Caenorhabditis elegans: one gene and its partner. The protein of the gene in region 2 interacts with the protein of the main gene of each other region in a pairwise test. Each region holds a gene or a part of one and is shown on either strand. Other genes may lie near its edges.

Evidence for each region.
Region 1: the proteins of smg-4 (region 2) and smg-3 interact in a two-hybrid assay, tested with the Caenorhabditis elegans proteins (one study listed by BioGRID).

The regions. Positions count from the first base shown.
Region 1 is NC_003282.8:6,369,739-6,375,111, forward strand, and holds the start of smg-3 (MIF4G domain-containing protein), read right to left. Parts: upstream 3,352-5,373; 5' UTR 3,350-3,351; coding exon 3,089-3,349; intron 3,042-3,088; coding exon 2,863-3,041; intron 2,808-2,862; coding exon 2,596-2,807; intron 2,547-2,595; coding exon 2,317-2,546; intron 2,265-2,316; coding exon 2,172-2,264; intron 2,128-2,171; coding exon 1,255-2,127; intron 1,204-1,254; coding exon 857-1,203; intron 424-856; coding exon 49-423; intron 1-48. Other genes in the region: hrpf-2 (RRM domain-containing protein), read right to left, coding at 3,859-4,519, 4,570-4,763, 4,812-5,044.
Region 2 is NC_003283.11:9,775,163-9,779,830, reverse strand, and holds smg-4 (UPF3 domain-containing protein), read left to right. Parts: upstream 1-2,085; 5' UTR 2,086-2,088; coding exon 2,089-2,228; intron 2,229-2,281; coding exon 2,282-2,607; intron 2,608-2,659; coding exon 2,660-3,168; intron 3,169-3,506; coding exon 3,507-3,638; 3' UTR 3,639-3,896; downstream 3,897-4,668. Other genes in the region: F46B6.4 (Hflx-type G domain-containing protein), read left to right, coding at 314-375, 421-591, 638-1,349, 1,437-1,571, 1,620-1,946; UPF0587 protein F46B6.12, read left to right, coding at 4,031-4,033, 4,167-4,313, 4,362-4,443, 4,518-4,627.

The DNA.
Region 1 (5,373 bases), on a different chromosome or scaffold from region 2:
AATTGCTTTTCTATAGTTTAAAGCTCCATAACATAATTTTGAATATACCTTGTCTGAACATCGAGAGGATTTTGATTTTCTCCCGTTTCTCCTCCCGAATTCGGTTGTTGTTCGGCAACTTCTTGATCCCAGGCATCTTTTTTGATGTAATAGTAACGATGGAAATATGATAGGAAATATCGCATTTTGATTTTTCCCGAGCCTTTCATGAAGAACTCGCGTAGAATTTCCAGCATAGCACAAATCATTCGAATTCGGTGCAGGTCTCGCCACGAATTTTCTGGTTCTGGATATGAAATCAGTTGATAGAGAATCTTCAAGACTAGATCTTCATCACACAGCTCAAAACTGTAGAGCTCTGCAAGATAAACGGCGGCAGAATGAGCCCATTGATTGTAGACTCCAGGATTTTCCAAGGATATTCTGGAAATAACTCTTATGCTTGCTGCTTGAACTGGAAACGAGAGATGCGCGGCACATTTACAAAACGATATTCTCTCATTGTCGTGCCGAAATATTTTTTTCGGAAATTTTAATAGAAATAAAGATAAACATGTATAGTTTCTAAGAATAATGTTACTTTCAATTGAAAGTTTTGGGAAGTTGCTCAAAAACTAACACAACCGTACGATGCAGTATTAATATTTGAATCAGGGGTGTGCGGCAAATCTCAAAATTTGTCGAGCTCGGCAAGTTCGGCAAATTCGGCAAATTTGCCGCACACCCCTGATTTGAATCAATGGGCAATGCCTCGAAACTTTTCATTGAGAGCAATTTTTTTCAGAAAGTACAAAAAAAGTTATATATATATTTCTGTGTAAATGTGCCGCACATCTCTATCGAAAATCGTTCATACCGAATAGTTTCAATTGTTGAATCAATTACAGCCATTCCAATCCATTGAAGATGTACCAAATTACAGAGACCAGCAATCGCAGATGCCACGTGTTGAAGATTTTCAATGGGAAGAAGCCACGTGGAGGAGAGATAACGAATTGCATAATCAGCAACTTCTGGATCATACCATTCAAGCCTCCGAAGACATTTTAAGAAAACATCAACGGTTGATTCATTGATATCCAGAATTATGTGACGAATAAATCGTTTCATTGGAGTATCCTCTTCGTCTAGCTTCAAACGAAGACGTTCTTCTTTTGAATCTTCTGGTGGAAGGCAGGTGAAATACGCATTGTCTATGAGCATCTGAAATATCGAAATTGAATTAATATTATGATGTAGTTCATCTAAACATACCGCTTGTCTTTGATCTTTCATTCGTTCTCGTTTCGCCTTCACAACTTCCAATAATCTCTTCATTTTTGCATGTGATTCAGTATGTCTATACAGATAAAGACCACTAGATTCCATGAATGTCGCTGTCATTTCTACAGAATGTCCACGTAAATCATACACAAGTTGTCTCAAACAACTGAGTCCTTCAGCACGAGAAATTACTCCAAACTTCATCAGTTCAGCTATCATCATCACGCAAACCATCTTTGATTCCACTTTGATTATAGCAGTAGCTGACGATGGTTTCTGTTGCAAAAATCCGCGGAATTTCTCGAGTAGTTGAGTTACGATTTCAGTTGTCAAATCAGGCATCACATTCTCGAGAGTAGCGACAAGTCGGGCATAAAATGGAACAACATCGATCCGAGACGGAGGTGGATCGATCATAAGCTTCACAAGCCTCTTGCGACAACCCTTATTATTCAGATTCGAAACAAAATAAATAGCTGCTTGGTCAGTTGAGTACTTGCTGACAAGATGATCCAAATCAAGTACAAAACTTTGCCATTTGCTGACTCCTCGTTCTTCGGATGCATCCACAGCTTCTTTGAGAAGAGCTTGAAGTTGAGAATCTTCTGGTGTCGTCTCCTTTTCAGACTCTCCACGTTGTAATGATGATCTCTTCGCATCCATTGCTCCGGATTCATTGATATTTTCCATATCGACATCTTCAATCCTTTCAGCCATCTTCGCTTTGCTGAGAGTTCTCTGTTCAGATTCTTTATAAAGATCCTTGGGAACCATCTGTCGAAGATCGATAAGATCCTCGTAGAATGCCTTCGTCTCTTCATCACTCCACAGCTTGATTGCTCCTTCTGCAAGTTTGCGTCCCATCTGAAATATAGAATAAGTTCAAGTTTTTGGTCGAATCAAAAAACCTCCAAGTTGGCAGCTTCATCCTCTTCATCGTCACTAGCTTCCTCTTTTAGCGGTTTCATTTCCACACCGATTGCAGACGATATCTCTATAGCCTAAAATGAGGGGTTTTCTCAAATTTTCCTATTGGGTAATTAATTTTTGTACCATTTTCCGCAGAGAATCCAATTCAGACTGAAGATCATTCAAAGTTGTCTTTTCCTCATCACCAGCGTCTCCACGGCTTCTTTCCTGTCGTTTAACTCTCTTCATCGCCTTATTTCTTGCCGAACACGTTTTCTCGGTTTTCGAATAAAGTGAATCGTAGTATGATTTGAAGAGCTCACGAATCGACTTTTTCTGTTCAACTGAGAGAGCTGATGACTCAGGGAGTTCTTCTGAAAACATTGATAATGAATATACGCTCCTGATTAAAAAGATAACAACCGTCTTGAATCTCGACCGTTTCAGCATCATCCATTGGAATTGGCACAATATTTGCAATTTGCCATCCAACAGTTCTAGATACTGTAGCCAATAATCCAACATTGACAAAATCAGTCTTATCTGTTTGAATCAAATAACTTAATACAGCACCGAGAACTTGAAGTCCTTCCTTTTCATTGAAAACTCCACACAGGCAAAGTTCAGCGAGGAAGCTGGAAATATTTTATTTATTCTCAGATGAAAACTGTCTTATTAATGCAATCTAACATAATATCCACTCTCAATTTTGCAACATTTGCAATTTTGTCACTCTTTTTAACAGGAAGAACTTTTTTGAATTCCCCAGCCATCTGTTCACTGAAGTTTGAATATTTCGCAGAAATTGCAAGGCAGAGCTCTGTTACTTTCGGAATATCGGATAACTTCAATTTTGTCTCTATAATTCCCTGAAAAATTATCCGATTTTCAATGGAATTCGAAATCAAGAACCCACCGACGCCATTTCCTCAACAAATTTGCTTAAATTCAATTTCGATAATTCTTCAATTAATTGTGGAACAGTGGCCGCACTGAGAAGCTTCACTTTTTTCATAAAACTCGTCGTCTTTTTCAATGTTGAATCTAAACTTCGCAATTCTTTTTCGTTATCGAGCAAAGTTTCTCGAATCTCGACCATTTGAAGACGACTTGTTTCTTGATATTTTACACGCTTTTTCAGCTCTTCCAGCCATGATGTCTCGACTTTTCGCCGCATCTGCATAGACTGTGATAGAGAATCGTCATTTTACAAAATAAAGTGTACACTCAAGTATATAATTGAACATTCCAACATTCTATGAAACAACCAAGAAGTGAAATAATTATCCATGTCTCATTTCCTAATTAAAAAGAAATAAGAATTTCCAAATTGTAACATATTAAAACGCGGGGCGAACAGCCATTAAATATCAAAAAGGATACAGAAAAAAAAAACAATGAAAGTCTCAAATTCAGAAATCTATTAATTAATAAAAATTGTGTAGGAAGATCAAAGCATGATATTTTGATAGTTGAACAGAACAGAGGTAAAATAAGACGTTCGCGTTGGAAAATCATGAGAACAAGATAATAAATAACCGAGACCTCGGAGAACAGAGAAAAAAGTAAAGTGATACACTAGATTATAAGGAACAATGCTCATTTGTCTGGAAAATCGAAAGAACTGGGATTTTGGCAGGAACAGAAAAAAGGAAGTCAGAAGTGAAAAGAAAAAAAAGAAGATAATTAATATCCACTTCGATGATCTCCAGCTCCAGCTCCCCATCCTCCATAAGCACTGTGATGAGACGGTTGTTGTTGCTGAGCCCATGTTGGCTGTGAGTCTCTAGGTTCTCTTTGACGATCGTAAGCTCCTCCAGCAGATGCTCCATACGAATATGATTCGCCTGATCCATATGCAGAATGAGCAGCTGTGGGATATGTGGATGCAGGTTCTGCAGAATACGCAGACTGTGCTTGTGAAGCATAATAAGCATCCCAGCTTGCAGCATAACCTCCGGCAGCACTGCTCTGATCATAACTCGGACCAGTAGATGCTGCTCCATAACTTCCCCACGTATCAGGAGCCCGGCCATGCGCAGCTGGTGGTGCACGAATTGGAGCACTGCGTGGTGGGATGCCTCGTGGTTCATATTTGGGTTCTATATCGTATCCTCGTGGTTCCCGTGGGCCATATGGATCCCTTGATTCTCTGTATGATGGTGGCATAGCTTGAGGACCTGCCCTGTAGCCAGAGTCTCGTTGTGGTGGCCCTCCGCCACGTCTTCCTCCGTTAAGAATCGGATCAGGCGCTGGAGCAGCTGATGCATTCGTGCCACTTGTTTCTTTCCAAAGAAGACGACGCATTGGACCAGGCGCTCCACGATTATCAAACAGTTCGACATATCTACAAATAACAATAATTATTCCATGTTCTGATTATAAATTTCAAATTACCGTCTTCCCATTCTTTGATTGTTACGCGAGAGAGCGACTTGAAGATCGTTGTAATTGTCAAATTCCGCAATAGCATCTCCAGATGGACGACCAGTTTCGTTGATTCCTATTTTGACTGAATGGCATCGAAGTGGAGAAAAAAAAGCAGCGATAGCATGATCATCAGCATCATAAGGAAGACCACGCATATACACCTGAAAAATAAAATAATTTATTTTACAATCGCAGAAAAATACTCATACCCTCAGCGGATCATCGCCTCCTCTTCCATAATCACTGCGACCTCCTTGATCGTGTCCACCATTGTATCCATAATCCCGACGTCCGCCATAACTTCCACGATTGTAGTCATCATAACCACGATCATAGCTGCTGTCGCCGTATCTTCCACCACCACCTCGTCTTCCGTGGTCATATCCTGAATCCACGGACATCAGTGGGCGAATTCCAGTTCTTTCGTAAGATGCCGAGTATTCTGTAAAATAAAAATTGAAAATATTTATTATCAAGATTTGTTATATCAATAAATAGTAAACTAAATGAGCATTTCAAGAGACAATTTTTAAAATGTTGAAATTTGATGTGCACCGTAACAGAAATGTGCGCAGATTTGCTTTTCAAATATTTCGACATGTTTTAATAAAGGCTCATTCAGATGGGTCTTGGCGCGAAAATGAGTATATGGTAGTTTTTATTTAATTTTTGCTGCTGTTTCTTGCATTTTTGAATTAAATCACTTCTTTTCTTGCGAATTTTGTCTCGTTTTCTATTTTTTATCAGAAAAATGAGAAAAAGGAAGGGCAA
Region 2 (4,668 bases):
TCATGTTCCCATTTTTTTTGTCCGTTCAATAGGTTCTCCCAACCATATCAATTGTATTCCTGTAACTTGAGTTTTAGGCATATCCCAGCCGATTACAAATATTGTTTTATGGAAGAGTTAGTCTTGAAACTTATTTTCCCGCTTTTCGTACCCATTAGAATTTCAATTTTTGGTTTTTCAGTTCGAACCCCTTCTGATGAAGTTTCAATCGTCTTAAAATACGCTTAATCTGATTATATTTGGTAATATATTCCGTGTATAGATTTTTACTTTGTTAGAAATATGAAAGCAGCTTCTCAAATATTATTTCAGAATGTTTATTCTACGATTATCAAGGCAGACAGTTTTGTCATTTCGTAATCTGAGTATTGGTAGGTGAGCAGAATTTTCTATATTTCCAAAATTTTATTGATCTCTCAGTTCTGAAGTGGCAGCTCCTTCTGCATTTGCAAATGATAGGTGGTCAGTGTTAGTTGTGCATCCAAAGGTTCGATGGGGATCTGGATCAGCTTCAGTATTGAAACAAGCAGATCGACAACTTGAAGAAGCTGTTGCACTTGTCGATAATCTTCCAAATATGAATGCTGTTGAGTAGGTTTTGGAATGATATTAATTGATATAACTCATCTAATTTCAGCAGTCTTATCATGCCAGTCGACTACAATACAAAAAGGAAAGCTGTTTGGGCGTCTGGAAATTTAGAAAAGTTGATTGCTCGACGAGAAGCTGCACGTGCCACTGCATTAATGGTGAATGTTGATGCATTGAGCCCATCGCAGCAACAAGAACTCTACCGAATTTTCGAAGTTCCTATTTTTGATCGATACAACATTGTTTTGGCAACTTTCAAACAATTTGCAAAAACTGAAGAAGCTCGGATTCAGATTGCTATTGCCGAAATTCCGTACATCAAACATCGAATTCATGCTCTTTCATCGAAACGATTGCATTCACGTCCGGATATTCTACACATTGACTCACACTATTCCGATATCGATGGCGATCTGAATGAAATTCTTCGAAAACGAGAGCAAGACCTACGTAAAGAGCTAAAAGATGTGACTCGGAAAAATGTTGGACAACTCGGTGTGAGAAATTCATCAGACGCCGTTGTTGCAGTTGTCGGATACACGAATTCTGGAAAAACTAGTTTAGTGAAAAAACTGACTGGAGCCGCATCCCTGACGCCGAAGGATCAGTTGTTTGCCACATTGGACACCACACGCCACTTGGCAAAGTTACCTTCTGGTCGATCAGCTGTGTTTACTGATACAATCGGATTTTTGAGCGATTTGCCAATGCATTTGATTGCGGCATTCGAAGCTACGCTGGCTCATGTGAAATCTGCGGTGAGTCATGAGTCATTGAACAAAAAGTTTTAATTCGTTTTCGAAATTCAAATTCGTTATAAAAATCGTGATATTTATTTTTTGTAGGATGTGATAATCCACCTTCGAGACATTTCCAATCCGGACTGGAAAGCACAAGAAGAAGATGTTCTGGCAACACTTAAATCCATTGGAGTTACAGATTATGTACTCAACGAAAGGATAATTTCTGTTGATAACAAGGTGATATTTAGAAAAGTTTTCTTCCTTTTCCTAATTTTTATTGTTCAGATCGACAAAGAATCTGCATTTCCCACTTCCGAATCAAACAATTCCGTACGAATTTCGTGTAAAACAGGTGATGGTATGCATGAACTCATTGATGTTATCAACGATAAAGTTACAATGGTTACAAAGTGCAAAACGATTCGACTTCGTCTGGATGCTCGATCACCAGTAATTGAATGGCTTTATCATAACGAATTAGTGGTCATTGAGCCCACCATCGATGGAAATTATTTAATTTTTGACGTTGTTATGAACGAATCGGAAATCGGTCGATTCCGTAAAAAATTTGCTCATTTAAAAAAGAAGAACTCACAATCTGTTTCTCTATAAAATAGTAATAAATATTTTTTATTTATTTTACAACTGCTTATTTGTTTTATTCATCCGGTCTGCACCCGTTAAATTAATTCTTGATTCTTTTAAAAATGTAGTAATTTTTATTATTTTTATTATTTTATTTATTATTTTCAGAATGACCGATTCAAAAGACGGTCATGTGAAAGTCGTGTTGCGTCGTCTTCCAAAATACATGACGGAGCATGAAGTTCTTGAACAGATTAGTCCACTACCAGAAGAAGTCATTGGAACCTATTTTCATCCTGCTAACTTTTCGTGTGTTCTAAAAATTTGATGTTTTGCTTCTAAAGTCATAAACATTTTTTCAGGTTCGACCGATGTGCTTATGCAACGCTTACAGTAAATTTTTCCGAATACTGTGATTCAATGATGGAATTTGAACGGCGATTCGATGGATACATTTTTGTCGATTCTCGTGGAAATGATTCTGCTGCAGTTGTTGAAGCTGCTTCCAATCAGAACTTTGCAAAATGTGATCGTAATCGAATGAAGGAAGATACACGTGTTGGAGCTATTCTCACTGATAAATACTATTTGGATTTCTGTAAGAAGCTTGAAGAAGAAAGAGCTATTCCAATTCTGACTCTGGAACAACAAATTCGGAAACTTAATCAGCCTGATGATGCTAGAACTCGTTAGTATTTGATTTTTCTTAAAATATTAAAACATCATTATTATTATTATAGAAATCGATAAAATGGAAACACCACTTGTCAAGTATTTCTTCGAAAAAGAAACTGGAAAGCGGAGAGATTACGATGCTCGCAGACAGAGACGTGACGAAAAGAGAGCTGAGAAGCGTGATAAAGTTGATAAATTTGAAAAGCATAAGAATGTTCTGGATATCCTTATGAAGCCCAGCGTTCCGATGGCTTCAACGTCTGCAACCACGTCGAAGAAGGATTTGAAGAAGGAAAAACCTATGACAGAAAAAGAAAAAGAACGGTGGGAGAAGCAGGACGCAAAAAGAAAAGAACGAAATATGATTCGCAAACAAAAGTTTCTTGATGAGAAGAAGAAGAAACATGAAGAGCGGGAACAAGATGGACCACGTGTTCCAAGAGATAAAAAAAAGGAACGTCTCGCAAAACCTCCCCGTCCATCTCCAGCTAAAACTGTTGGCGAGCAACAAGGCGAGGATTGGATTAAGAAATTAACTGATCCGAAGTCAGCTCCAATGAAAAAGAAACACGATGTAAGTTTCATTTTTCATTTCTCAAAATTTTTATAAGTTCTGAGCTTGTTTGAAATACGAATTAAAATGATCAGACATCATATTAAAGTACATACTTTTTAAAACTTTGTCTGGTCAAAAAAAATGAAAATTGCTCTGTTTGATATTAATAACTTTGAGGTTGACCAAAAAGTTGTTTTCTACAAATTATATTCAAAAAATCTAAATAATCTGAATTTTTTGAAAAATTGACATTTTGCCAAAACTTGAACCGTAGGTTCTAGGAACTATTTTACTGAGATTTGATGAAATAGTTCACTTTTTTCTGAATAAAAAAAAGTTACTAAACTCTTTAAAAGCTTTCAGTCACCACCAAACTGAATAAGGAAACCGATACACGGCCACGAACGGCACCATCTTCTACAAAACTCCCAACTCGTGCAACTACGTCCAATCATCCAAAACGTCCATCCACTGCACCGAATCATTAGCAATTGTTGTTAAAGATTAATGTTGATTATAAGAGGAGTAAATGGATTTTTTTTGTTTGATTGTGAAACCGTCATAATCGTTTTCTATGTGCTACATTTCTAATATGTTCACTTATTCCATTCTCTGTATTTTCGATTATCAAACATTCGAAACTCATCTTATGATTTTCTACCCTCCATTATTACAGCTTATGTACTCGTTTTTTCCCTTTTTCCTTACTCGCTTTATAGTTTTGGAAAATAAATTATAAATACATTTTTTGTGTTATGCTATTTCATTCTAACGGGAAGTCCCTGTGGGAATGTCTCCTCATTTTCTTGACAGCCTCCGTCAATTCTTCACTAAAGTGTTGTTTAGGTGACCGGAGGACGAGACCATCTGCGCGTACAAAATGGTAAGGAATACCAATTAGAATGTGCTCGGAGAGACATAAGCACAAGTTTCTTCCGCGCGGATAATTAGGGTTGACTTTTTCTATTTACGAACAAAGCAATCCGATAATTAGCATAATAACTTGAGAATTTCAGCCTTTTCTTGCTCTCGAACTGAAGTGTCAATTGAAAGGTATCACTGATCTTCGTCCGGATGACACTGATTCGTTTCATTGGCACATGAAACTTAAGTGTACTAATTGTGGTGAAGCTCCAGATCACTGGCAGTATGTAGTGCTCAATGTGAGATATTTCTAGAATGTTTTCTTTTAAGAAACAAATCTATTTTAGGAGATGCTTGATGTTCCAGGAAGTCGTGGTGAGGCAAATCTTGTGGAAAAATGCAAGCTGTGTGGAAGAGTCAACACTTTGAGTGAGTGAATCTTAAAATATCTGGGATCAAAGTTTTGCGAGAAAATCAAATTAAGTATATATAAACATTTTCAGCCATTGTCGAGGATATGTTCAAAAGCTACAACATCGAACAAAACGAGAAATGGCAACAGATTGCAGTGTTCGATTGCCGTGGACTTGAACCGTTTGATTTTGATCCGAGAGTACGAAATTTTGAATATATTTAATTCAAAAATGTGTGATT